Linked DNA regions of Danio rerio. The protein of the gene in region 1 binds, or shares a complex with, the protein of each later gene. Links are inferred from orthologs where the notes say so. Each region holds a gene or a part of one and is shown in the gene's direction. Other genes may lie near its edges.

Region 1 (3,437 bases):
TTATTATATTTTCGGAAATGCTGAATATTCCATTTTGAAAACTAACAAAATAGTAAAACATTAAAAATATTTTTTACAATAAAAATATTTCACAGAAATACTGTTTAACTTTTGTGAACAAAAAAATCTGTAGCGTGTAGCAGAAAGCTACTTATGTAATCGTTTTGTTATTATTGTTTTTGTTATTAGTTTGATAAATTTCCAGTGACATAAAAATGTTAAACATTTTCTTAAAGTTTTGTAATGGTCCGGTGCTTATCATCTCCACATTGCTGCTGTTTCTAGGGAAGGAGATGCGGAGGGCTAAACTAGCTCGCAGTCGTTCTCTCAGTGGCCATCCCACAACACCCAAGATGACAAACTCAGACAAAACCTTGTACGTAACAAAATCCCCTAAGCTTTCTTATGTTGCTACTGCAGTTGGTTCTTTGACCCATGACCTGTGACCCATCATCGCTAGTACTTCAACATTTACACTCACAATTTTTTCTTTAGAAAACTGAAAGATTCAGGAAGTTGCCCTGGATCAGGAAAGAGTCCTATGCTACCTTTAAATGGTAACTAATGAGATTGTTCTTCGTGAATTATATTGTTATATTATATTGTTGTTTACATGTACTTATGTACTTGTTTGCTTTCCAGATGATAACCTGCGACCCCACCACTTTAATGTTGCTTCTTCAATCTCCTCCACCCCATCGTCCTCGTCCATGCCTGTTCTGATCCGCAGCAACACCAGCAGCTCTGTGGATCACCGGAGTAACGGGAATAAAGACACACAGTCTAGGAAACTTTCTGTGTATGTTTCTCAAATTGACTGATAAACTCCCATTTTTAATCAGCCACTCCCCACCTAGCAAAATATCTCTGGCCCAGCTCTGACCCACACAATCAGCTTTTACTTGGCCCACATGCTGCAGTAAATTACGGTACATGACTGGACCAAGTCTGGCTTCCAGACAAGGGCCAAACATGGACCATATCTCAGCCAAATTAACAATCCCTAACCCTGAACTAGGCCAGATATGTTGGTGTGTCACGACTGCAATGAAATTGATAAATCCATAAAGCATTGCACTTTAGACATGCTATGGGCATGCTTTTTCTTGCAGAGACCTGATTGTTTTTTTGTTTTTTTTTAAAATAAGAATTTAAATGTGGGTCAAGATAGGCCAAACTCACATGGCCCACATATCAAATTATAACATCTGGGCCAAATACTACATTTGACATCTGGCCCAAATATTGTGTGCCGCCTTAAAGACGGTGCCTGACTGCTGTCAAACCTGGGCCATGTTTGGTCTGAATGCCTGCTGTGCCAGCTTTATGCTAAATCTCAGCCAGAATTCTTTGCTTCCTGGGTTATTATCTAAGTGCCGTATTCGGCTGTATACAACTCATTATTTCATTATTTAAAACATGCTGCACCTCACTCCAAGGATGCAAAGCATTTGCAAAATCTGCACACATTGTCAAATGAGTGTATCTATACAACAAGTACATCATTACTTCATATTTTAAACAATATTATATTTCTTATCTGAATCAAGTCATTATGCCTATAGTAAAAACAAAGGAACAGCTTATATAGCCTTGCAGAATTCCAATTGTAGTGTTCATAGATGTCATATAGATATTGAAACTGAGGGCAAACATGCTCCCTTTTGAGCCTACTGGATTATTAAGGCAACTGCCACAAGATATAATGTACATTTTTACATTTGACAGTTAAGTTCTATGGCTATTTAAGCAATCACGTGAATATACTGTGAATTTATTAATTACATACTATTGAGAGAAAACAAGAGGCATTTTACAGGTCAAAGTACTTTATTTATTATTATTATTTATTCATTTATCACAATGATTTTATTCTGTTCAGACACGTTTATATATATATATATATATATATATATATATATATATATATATATATATTTATATTATTTCATTGTGCGCATGCAGAGCTGAATCAAAACCTTACTTACACATTTTTTTGCATACAATTTTTTTCAACTTCCAGTGGCCCAAATATTTGAAGGTGTTCCTTTTAAATAAATTTATTTAGGCTTTTATCATTCTAGTTTAAGGTGAAAATTATAAAAAAATTTCAGTTTGTTTTACATACATTTCTATCTGTTCTGAATAATAATGAACATTTAAAGGATTTGGTGTTGGTTTAAGGGATCTATAATACATTTTTATAATTGTTTTGTACAATGTTTTGATTTATTTTCATTTCTTTTTTCTTAGCAATGCAATTTTGTTTTATTATGAACGGGTGTGATTCAGCAAGAGTGATCTTATGTTGTCTTTCTGTTTGTGTTCGACAGACAGCGGAAGTCGAATTCATTTGGAATGCAGTCTGGGAGAGAGTGATTACCACTTTGCCTTCTGACTTAAAGCCCCTTTTACAAGACTTTTCATTCTGCAGCAGCAGCACAGCAGTGTCCCTCCATTTTGATGTGTCCATTCTCTCTTCTATCCCAGAAAAGGCTTAAGATGTGCTGGGGCATCAATTAAGGTCTGCATTGATCCATCTCTGCCTTATTTCATACAAAAAAAACAATCAAAATCTCACACCATACATCATAAAATGAAACCGAGAGTTGAGGAGTAATTGAATGTATTTAATTTACTGCCTCATTATTTTGTTTCTTGTATTATAGCATGCTTTGCAAAATTCTCTGTTTTATATTTTTGAAGTGGCTAAGAGAAAAAGAAGCACTATGTATTTTTATGATTGAAGAGTTTTGGAACTCTCCATCCCATCCCACCAATGAGATTGTGCCTGGTGCCACCCAGCACCTGATTGATTAACGCCAACATCTTAGTACCCAATGAATAAAATTCATGTTGAATATGACGTGCTTTAATGACTTGCTTTTGAACTGGCTCTTTAAATACTGACAGCGCACATAGAAAAACAAGTTACTAGTTACACTTGACATTAAGTACACTATTCATTTAATTTCCTAGCAAACATTGGATTGTGACTATATTATGCTGCTACTTAATGTTAATTAAATCACAGTATAATGTTAATAACAGTTAAAAGGTTGATACTGATATTAATTGTTTTAAAACACTATTAATATTTGGTTATTCACGCAAAACAAATGGATGTAGGAGTGAGAACACCTGTATACACCATTGGTAGTTTCTCTAATTAGTTCTTAGTTGGGTCGACCACACGTCCAATGTAGAGGATGCATTTTGTGACCTCATGGTAGACAACAAAAATGAAGGGTCGGTTGAAAGTGAGCCTGGGAGGAAGAGGATTCATGAAGAGATTGCCGGAAGCTTCTGCCAGTGAGCCTCCAGACTCATCCACATCCACAGCCACCTTCTGTACCACCTGGAATCAAGCGCCATTGGTCAGTGCATTTTGTATTTATCATTATATTTATTTATTTTTAATTATGTCAACCATCATG
Region 2 (3,658 bases), on another chromosome or scaffold:
ATCTGCATTTACAGAGAGGTAAGGAAAGTATATGAAGCCTAAGATAGTCATTTTAAAAAATATATGCTCTATATATTGCACTGTATATTTCAGGAAAGTGAACGGTCCAGGAACACCCAGACCATTAAACAGACAGAAACACTCCATGTCCAGTTCGCTGGCCACAAATGGCCTTCCGGACAGTACTGAAAACAAAGACACAAACACACCCCAGGGACACAGCAAAACGACCAGGTAGACATCATATTTCAGCTCATCTTTCATGCACTTTTCACCTGCATGGACCATGACACACTTTTGAGCTAGACTTTGTTGAAAGGATGAAAGGGATGGTAGGGGAACAGTGGGATGAAGAGGAAGTAAGAAGATAAACGGTGAATAGGTCGGTAGGTTGATGGAGCATCCTACAAAGATGCCCTGAGACTAATAGTGGGGGTACCGTCTCTGTAATGTTTTGGTAGAGTGATTGGACCCCCAAATTCAACCTAGGAGGGAAAAGAGGATCATAGGATTGTTAATGGGAAGTAAGGAAATAGAGGGAAGGAGGGAGGGTGGGTTCAGAAAAACCAGAAGAACAGTGCTAGAGCTGGGTTTTTTAATCTGTGGGTGGCACAAGACATTGAGGCATGCTCTTGAGTAAATAATGATGACAAGTTTTGTGTGTTCATTAGAGTGAATCTGATTAATGTTAGCTCCACATCTAACTGTCAGGCACCTGTAGAGTTTATGCATTAGAGTAAAATCTATACAAATATAATGGACCGGTTGCTTTTTAAAATGAATGACAGTGAATGAAAGTAATACCGATGAACCGTCAAACAAAATCAGCTGGATGCTCTTCTGGACCTTTCACTAACTTTAACGACACTACTGACTACATTTACATGGACATCTGTAATCTAGTTATTTGCCTTAATAGACGGTAATATAATTAAGGTGTTTGCGTAAAGTGCTTCAATGTAAGAGTTTCACTTTAAATCATGAACATTTCAGTCATGCCCCCATGACAAACTGGGGTATTAGACGTAAATAAGGAGTAAGGACTGGTGAGAGTGTTATGGAATTTAACCCTTAGATGCAGAAGCTATAAAATAGATATAGAAAAATAATGTAGTGCATCAAAGGGTTAATGATGCACGCCAAATGGAAAGAAAAAAACCTCAGCATTTTGCGATGTGTGTGTTTGTGTGCAGTCATTTACGGACCGCCACGTGTGTATCTTGTTAAAAATATGGCAAAGTCCTACATGACGGTAATAGTTTGATTGCAGTGTTTACTTCTGTATTTCCACTATTATATGCATACTCCATGTCTTGATTCTATTTCTATTTGGTTCAGTTACGAGTTTAGTCAGATTAAGGTGATCCTAAATCATTGTTTACATGGTAGACTCTTAATCGGAGTATTTTCTTAAGTGTATTAAAATCTATTAAAGTATTGGTGTCCATGTAAACAATGTTCAACTCAACCACACCGTCGGGGCTCTGCGAACTTGGTTTTGGGAAGCAGCATTTTCCGTATGTACGTACATCAAAAGCAAGTATGGTATGGCTCACACTTATTGACAGTGGAAGATGATTGATGGTTAGTCGTGTCAGGAATCCAACCATGTTGTCCTCAGAGAAACAGGCTCAGCCATCACACTGAATCAGTTGAGCTATACATTTATGTTTCAACGTGATTAATGCTACACACTTTAAATGCAGCAAGTAATATGTGAATGGTGTTTGCACGTGAATTATAATTTTGGAGGGGGTGTGCAAGTGAAATTGTCTAAATGTGGGGGGACGTGTGTCCTAAAACGTTGAAAACCTCTAAACTAGAGGTCTAGAGGTTAAGAAGAAGTGAGGTGTGGATCCACTGTTGAACCTTTGTTAACAAGTTAAATCCAGTGAGATAAAGTATTAAAGAGACAAATGAATCATTTCAAATAATCATCTTGTGTGTGTAATGTGCTGATAGTTTAATCAATAAACATGTTTTATCTTTTAACGTGGTAAATAATTAACTCTGCTGACCTTCAGCAAAAATAAATATATAGAAATGGCCATTTTTTTCATTCTTTTTGTTGCAGTGATGCATCTGCGTCAGGCATTGGTGGACCACTTGGCAGCTCTGTAAAAAACAAACACTTGGATGACGAGGAAGATGAGGGAATGGAGGAGGAGGAACACGAAGTTAAAAGACTCAAATTCAGCCAGGATGGCAACGAAGATGAGGAGGACGAAGATGATGTGGACGAGCAGGTTGTGGAGACCCCCAGATCCACACTGAGCAAAAGCCCCTCAGATAAGTCAGAGGACCCTGAATCACCGTCATCCATGTTGCAGGAAGGGAGTGAAGAAGAAGAGGAGGAAAGTAAACATGAAGGCTCGGCTGAAAACTCTGAAGACCAAGGTGGCATAGTTCAAATTATTTCTTGTTATAAATAGCTCATTATTCTTTCTATAATGCATTTCTTTTTCTTTTTTAACACAGAGCCTTCCAGCACACAACCCGAGTGTCCTGTGGCAGATTCCAGAGAGACGTTTACAGAGAGAGAGGTTCCCTGTGGTTCAGATGACTCTTCAGAAGAGCCCAGCGATATGGACCAATCAGAGCAGAGAGCACCAGCAGGCGTGGCCTCGAGCCCTGAGCTGAGAGAAGGAGAGGAGCCAAGTGAGGTCAGCAGCAGTAGCACTGACGACAATGCCTCTGGACCCACATCCAGCAGCAGTAGCATAGACTCTCCAACAGAGGGCGACACTGGGTCAGGGGCACTGGACTTGGAGAGCGCAGAGGAGCCCATGGAGCAAGACTAAGAGCCTGCACACTCCTACCCCAAACAACAATGTGCTTTTGTGGAGATTAAGACGACACACACACTCAAGTGGCCTTCCACAAAGGTCATCCCAAGCAACACCCAACCTACCGCCATGCGCCTTTCTGGTCGAGAGTCCACCTAACTTCTCCAAACTTCCCAAACGGACACTTTATGCAGATGTACATATGATTTTATTGCTGAAGTGAAGGTTTTAAGCTGTCTAAATTTCTTTCCTTAATTTGACGTCATGGGGTTTTTGCCAATCTGTTTCATCATAGGGACTCAAGTTTTTTAGGTGTCTTACTGTCATCAGCTAATTGCATAAATATCCATGGTTAAATACAAGTTTGTAAGAAGTCTCTTCCCCCTGCAAACCTTTAGTTTTATTTAACCTGGACTTTTTCTTTTAATATTTTAGTCTTGGTTCAAAAGGTCTAATCTATCCAGTCTTGTTCTAAAACGAGGACGTGTCTCCTTTGTGTATTAATATTTTAGGCACACAGTGTCAAGCATCAGGCCAGTGGAGTTTACCGCCTGAAGACGCATAAACTGGCCACTGTTCAAGTTACGTTCCAAGCAAATACAAGCCATAGCAATCTTTTGTTCTGTGAAATGATTCGAGCCTAGCGTAACACTTCTTTCCTTCTGCTCGTTTGTGTGTAACTGACGGGATGTAAACTTTCTTCGCTTTAGTGTAATCATGCGGTCTTTCCGCTGCATTGAAAGTGAGTGGTTTATGTCAGGTACATTTACCTCTTGTTCAGACTGATTTGATGATTCGCATTAATTTATAACAGCATTTCAATCTCCTATTTTATGAGAAGTTGTTTTCGTTGTTCCGGCGGGTGGTTATTG
Region 3 (3,758 bases), about 6.2 Mb from region 1:
AAGCAAGTCTCTCAGGACGGCAAAGTCCCAGTTTTAAACTGTCCTTCTCCAGCTCGCCAAAGGCAAGCCTGTCCTCTCCGCCGACTGCATCCCTTCATCCCGGTTCACCTGGTTCTCCTAGCTCTCCCGGGACAGGGGCCCGGAGCTCTCCCCCTTCGGCAGCTGTCACCACTAAGGTATTTAACAAGAATTGAAAGTGCTTTAAAATTCTAGTTGTTTCCTTTTTTACTATTGTAAGACAAAGTATTTGGCAGGGTTCTAACAGGTGCTGGAATTGCTTGAATTTTAATCTACTGTTTTTTTAAAGGTTTAAAAAGTGCTTAGATTTTGGATAAAGTGCTTAAAACTGCTTAAAAAATGTAATTGCTTTTGCAATATTGTATTTTACTAAATATGTAATAATTATTAACTATTTAAATAAAATAAGCCTTTTTGCTTTTGCATAAAATGAAAACTTGCAGAAAATGTGTGTGTACTGCAGGCAAAGTTTAGGAAAAGTTTTAAAATGCACCTGCAAAAGCTTGAAAAGTTCTAAGATTTGACTTTGGAACAGATGCAAGAACCCTGACTTGGGCACCCTATTGGTATAGGCCTTTTAAGACCCCAAAGATAAAAAGAGGTTTGCAGTACATGAGCAGTGATATTCTGTTAGCAAACATCCCGTATTAAATGATTATGTAAATATGTGCTCCACCTTTTCCTCCCAATAAACAAAAATGACAGAACTTAAGAAAGCAGCTGATATTGATGTTCAATTTTGCAGTCTAGTCCACTCACATCATGTGTCTTTAAATGGCACTTTAAACTGTAGATTGAGTTTTAAACCAGTGTTAATGTTAGTGTTGTTTTTTTTTCTACTGTAAATCGGCTATTCAATGTTTGTGAACAGGAAATGAACCAGAGAAAAATTCACAGAATACTGAGAGTCTCCTACCTGCTATACAATCTCCACTGAGCATTGGTAGTTGGTAGGTGTCCCAAAAAGGATATATTTTCAAAACATTTTCTTTGGAAAACTTTTTTTTTTTTTGAGTTTCAATTGAACTCTGTTTAGGCCTAATTTTGTCTATAATGATGCCACATCAGCTTATTCCTTGAATTGGCTTGAAGCATATTATCCAATACTTAATAAAATAATAATCCAGTAAAAGTATCAATTACACTCTTTCAATTTCACTTAAGTGAAAGTACAAAAGCATGCAGTGAAAAACCCTTTTTGGATGAGTTCTTTTCCCAAGAGAGTTACGATATTGATAATGCCAGCTCACACGTTTAAAACAACAAGTATGACATTATCATAGGCTGTAAATAATGTACACCCATATTGTGACCATATCACAATCTCAATTAGTTTGCAGACAACTAACAGTAGTTGCTTAAAGTTATTTCAATAATAAATCATCAATTTGAATTAGTAAATGTTGCCTCAAGAACATACACAGTCAGATCAGTCCCGTTCATCAAAGACTCTTTAAGTGTGATTTGGAAACCATTTCGAGATGTTAACTGAGAAGAATCAGCTGATTTGTCAGTGGGTGAGCATTTCTCCAGTCTCCAGTTGTATGCTCATTTATTTACCCCACAATACATCCCTAGAATAAAAAGCTCCATGTTTAGAATGGTGCTCAATATTAATGACTTCTGCTCTGATGCTGTCACAGTAGATGCCTATTGAACTTTTTATTTATGTCTAGTAATATTCAGATTTGTATCATATGGCTCATAACAAAAAATAGTCTCAACTACCGTATCAGATGCTTGATGCTTAGTTACTTCTCATTAAGGGGTGCATAATATATCGTTTCAGCATTTTTATCACAATGTGTGAATCTGCAGTAGTCAGTTCAGAACGTTTAATTTGTGGGGTCATCGCAAAGTTTAACCACATAACATTAGTGAAAGATTTTCAGTTGGATGCGTTTGTAAGACTGATGCCCGTGTAAGATTTAAGCAAACTTAAACTAAGAGGTTATAAAGGTATATAAACATAAATGAATGAATTATACAATGAAGACTATACAGTGTTGTTTTATATTTTATTATTAAATTTCTGTACCTCAACACTCTCTTCATTTCACAGAAACCCATCAAGTTCAATTGTATTGTATTTTATGCAGATCCTCCTCTACAAAATTATCCCAATTACTGTAAAATGATGAATTTGTTCCAAATAGTTTTGTCATCTTGTGAAATTGCATTCATATCGCACCATAGATTGCAGACAAACTAAATATTGCAATGTCATGTTTTTGTCCAATATCGTGCAGCTCTACTCCTCACCACTGTCTCTTTTTACACTCATTTCTAACTGCATGCTTGTCCTCCTCCAGGGAGGTTTAGTGGGGCTGGTGGACTATCCTGATGATGACGAAGAGGACGAGGATGAGGAAGATGCAGACAGTAAAGAAGAAAGTCCTCCGCTGTCCAAGAAGTCCAAGCTGAGCTCCTAAAAGCACTCCCTCCTCAATCAGCACAGTCACGCTCGAAGGGAGCTTCATCCAGAGACTTTTCCAGTGCTCAGCCTAGAACTCAAACTGAAACTAAATGAATGATGATGAATACACAAATGAATGGATAAATGAACGAATGCAGCCCCCCGCAGGAGTCCACGGGGCGCCATGTGAGGAACGGAGGACAGGGAGAGCAAGAGAGGGAGAAGATTCGGTCCCAGAACCAAAAGGTGAATGTCTCCACGTGGAGTTTGTCCAAGTGCCAATCTGCAAGAGAGAGAGAGAGAGACTCGTGAAGCGGACAGAGGGATGGAGGACTGTGGTCTGGACAAAGAATTATAATAAAATAAGAAATTAATTTCGACAAAGCTAAAAGTTCTGGGGGGTAAAACAGACCTCACACGCAGTCCGTCAGTCAGTCGTTCACTCACAGACACTCGAACTGTTGCCCCACAGAGCGTCCCAGGCCTGGACCAGGACACACTGCCCCCCCCTCTCAGGGAAGGACCTCACATGACCCGAACTGGGCCAGCCAATCCACAACCACCACTCACCTTTGCTGATCTCCATCTCCATTTCTTTCTCTCCTTCCTCCAGCTTTTTTTTCTGTTGTTTTTTTTCCCCCTTGTTTTTGACTTTCTAGGGCCAGGCGGGACACTATAGGGAGCAAAGAAGTCTGGGTCGTCATTGTTTAAGATGTCACTGTTGTTCTTGTGGCTCAGCGGAAGTTCTTCCTCTTTCAAAGCCAGCAGTTCCCTCCTTTTTCTTATTCTGTTGTTCTCCTCTCTGGTTTTTTTAAAATGACACAAAGAGACCTGCCTTTAAATGTTCAGGACGTTTTCAGCCGCACTTGAACAGGTTTTTAAAACCTCAGTGGGGGGGAGATAGTTTTACCCTTTTTTTGCCCTTCAAAACTGCAGATTTTTTGGAAAATTTGTAAGCCCGTCTTGATTAAAGATTGAGTGGAACTCTATAGATGTGATTGATTTCTGTCATATCTTCATTTTTTTTTCTTTTCTTTTACTTGTGTACACTCTTAGTTGTTCAGTATATTTGGGACCATTAAAAGATCTTTGCTGTAGTAGATCTCTCCCGGTTGTGCTGGTTCCCTGTATTATGTTCAACTGTGCTGATCTTTTTGTTATTTGAACTGGGATTTGGTCATTGAAATGATCCTCCTGTCTGCTCGTCTGAATACGTCAATGGAGAAGCCGTGTCTCTGCTAAACAGCCTGCACACAATTAAAGATAACAGTTTTTATTTTCTGAAAAACCATGTTTCCATTTGTACTTCAAAACCATGAGGATG

What was found.
Region 2: ppp4r4 (region 1) and ppp4r2b share a complex: the UniProt entries of both Homo sapiens proteins name them as parts of the PP4 complex. The link is inferred for Danio rerio from reciprocal best matches to the Homo sapiens genes PPP4R4 and PPP4R2.
Region 3: ppp4r4 (region 1) and smek1 share a complex: the UniProt entries of both Homo sapiens proteins name them as parts of the PP4 complex. The link is inferred for Danio rerio from reciprocal best matches to the Homo sapiens genes PPP4R4 and PPP4R3A.

What each region holds. Positions count from the first base shown.
Region 1 is NC_133195.1:30,097,663-30,101,099, forward strand, and holds the end of ppp4r4 (serine/threonine-protein phosphatase 4 regulatory subunit 4), read left to right. Parts: intron 1-285; coding exon 286-376; intron 377-495; coding exon 496-557; intron 558-642; coding exon 643-799; intron 800-2,198; exon of another isoform or gene 2,199-2,333; coding exon 2,334-2,379; 3' UTR 2,380-2,866; downstream 2,867-3,437. UniProt on the Homo sapiens protein: Putative regulatory subunit of serine/threonine-protein phosphatase 4.
Region 2 is NC_133181.1:46,726,467-46,730,124, forward strand, and holds part of ppp4r2b (serine/threonine-protein phosphatase 4 regulatory subunit 2-B), read left to right. Parts: coding exon 1-18; intron 19-93; coding exon 94-234; intron 235-2,074; coding exon 2,075-2,397; intron 2,398-2,478; coding exon 2,479-2,801; 3' UTR 2,802-3,658. UniProt on the Homo sapiens protein: Regulatory subunit of serine/threonine-protein phosphatase 4 (PP4). May regulate the activity of PPP4C at centrosomal microtubule organizing centers.
Region 3 is NC_133195.1:36,334,491-36,338,248, reverse strand, and holds the end of smek1 (serine/threonine-protein phosphatase 4 regulatory subunit 3), read left to right. Parts: coding exon 1-176; intron 177-2,330; coding exon 2,331-2,450; 3' UTR 2,451-3,722; downstream 3,723-3,758. UniProt on the Homo sapiens protein: Regulatory subunit of serine/threonine-protein phosphatase 4. May regulate the activity of PPP4C at centrosomal microtubule organizing centers.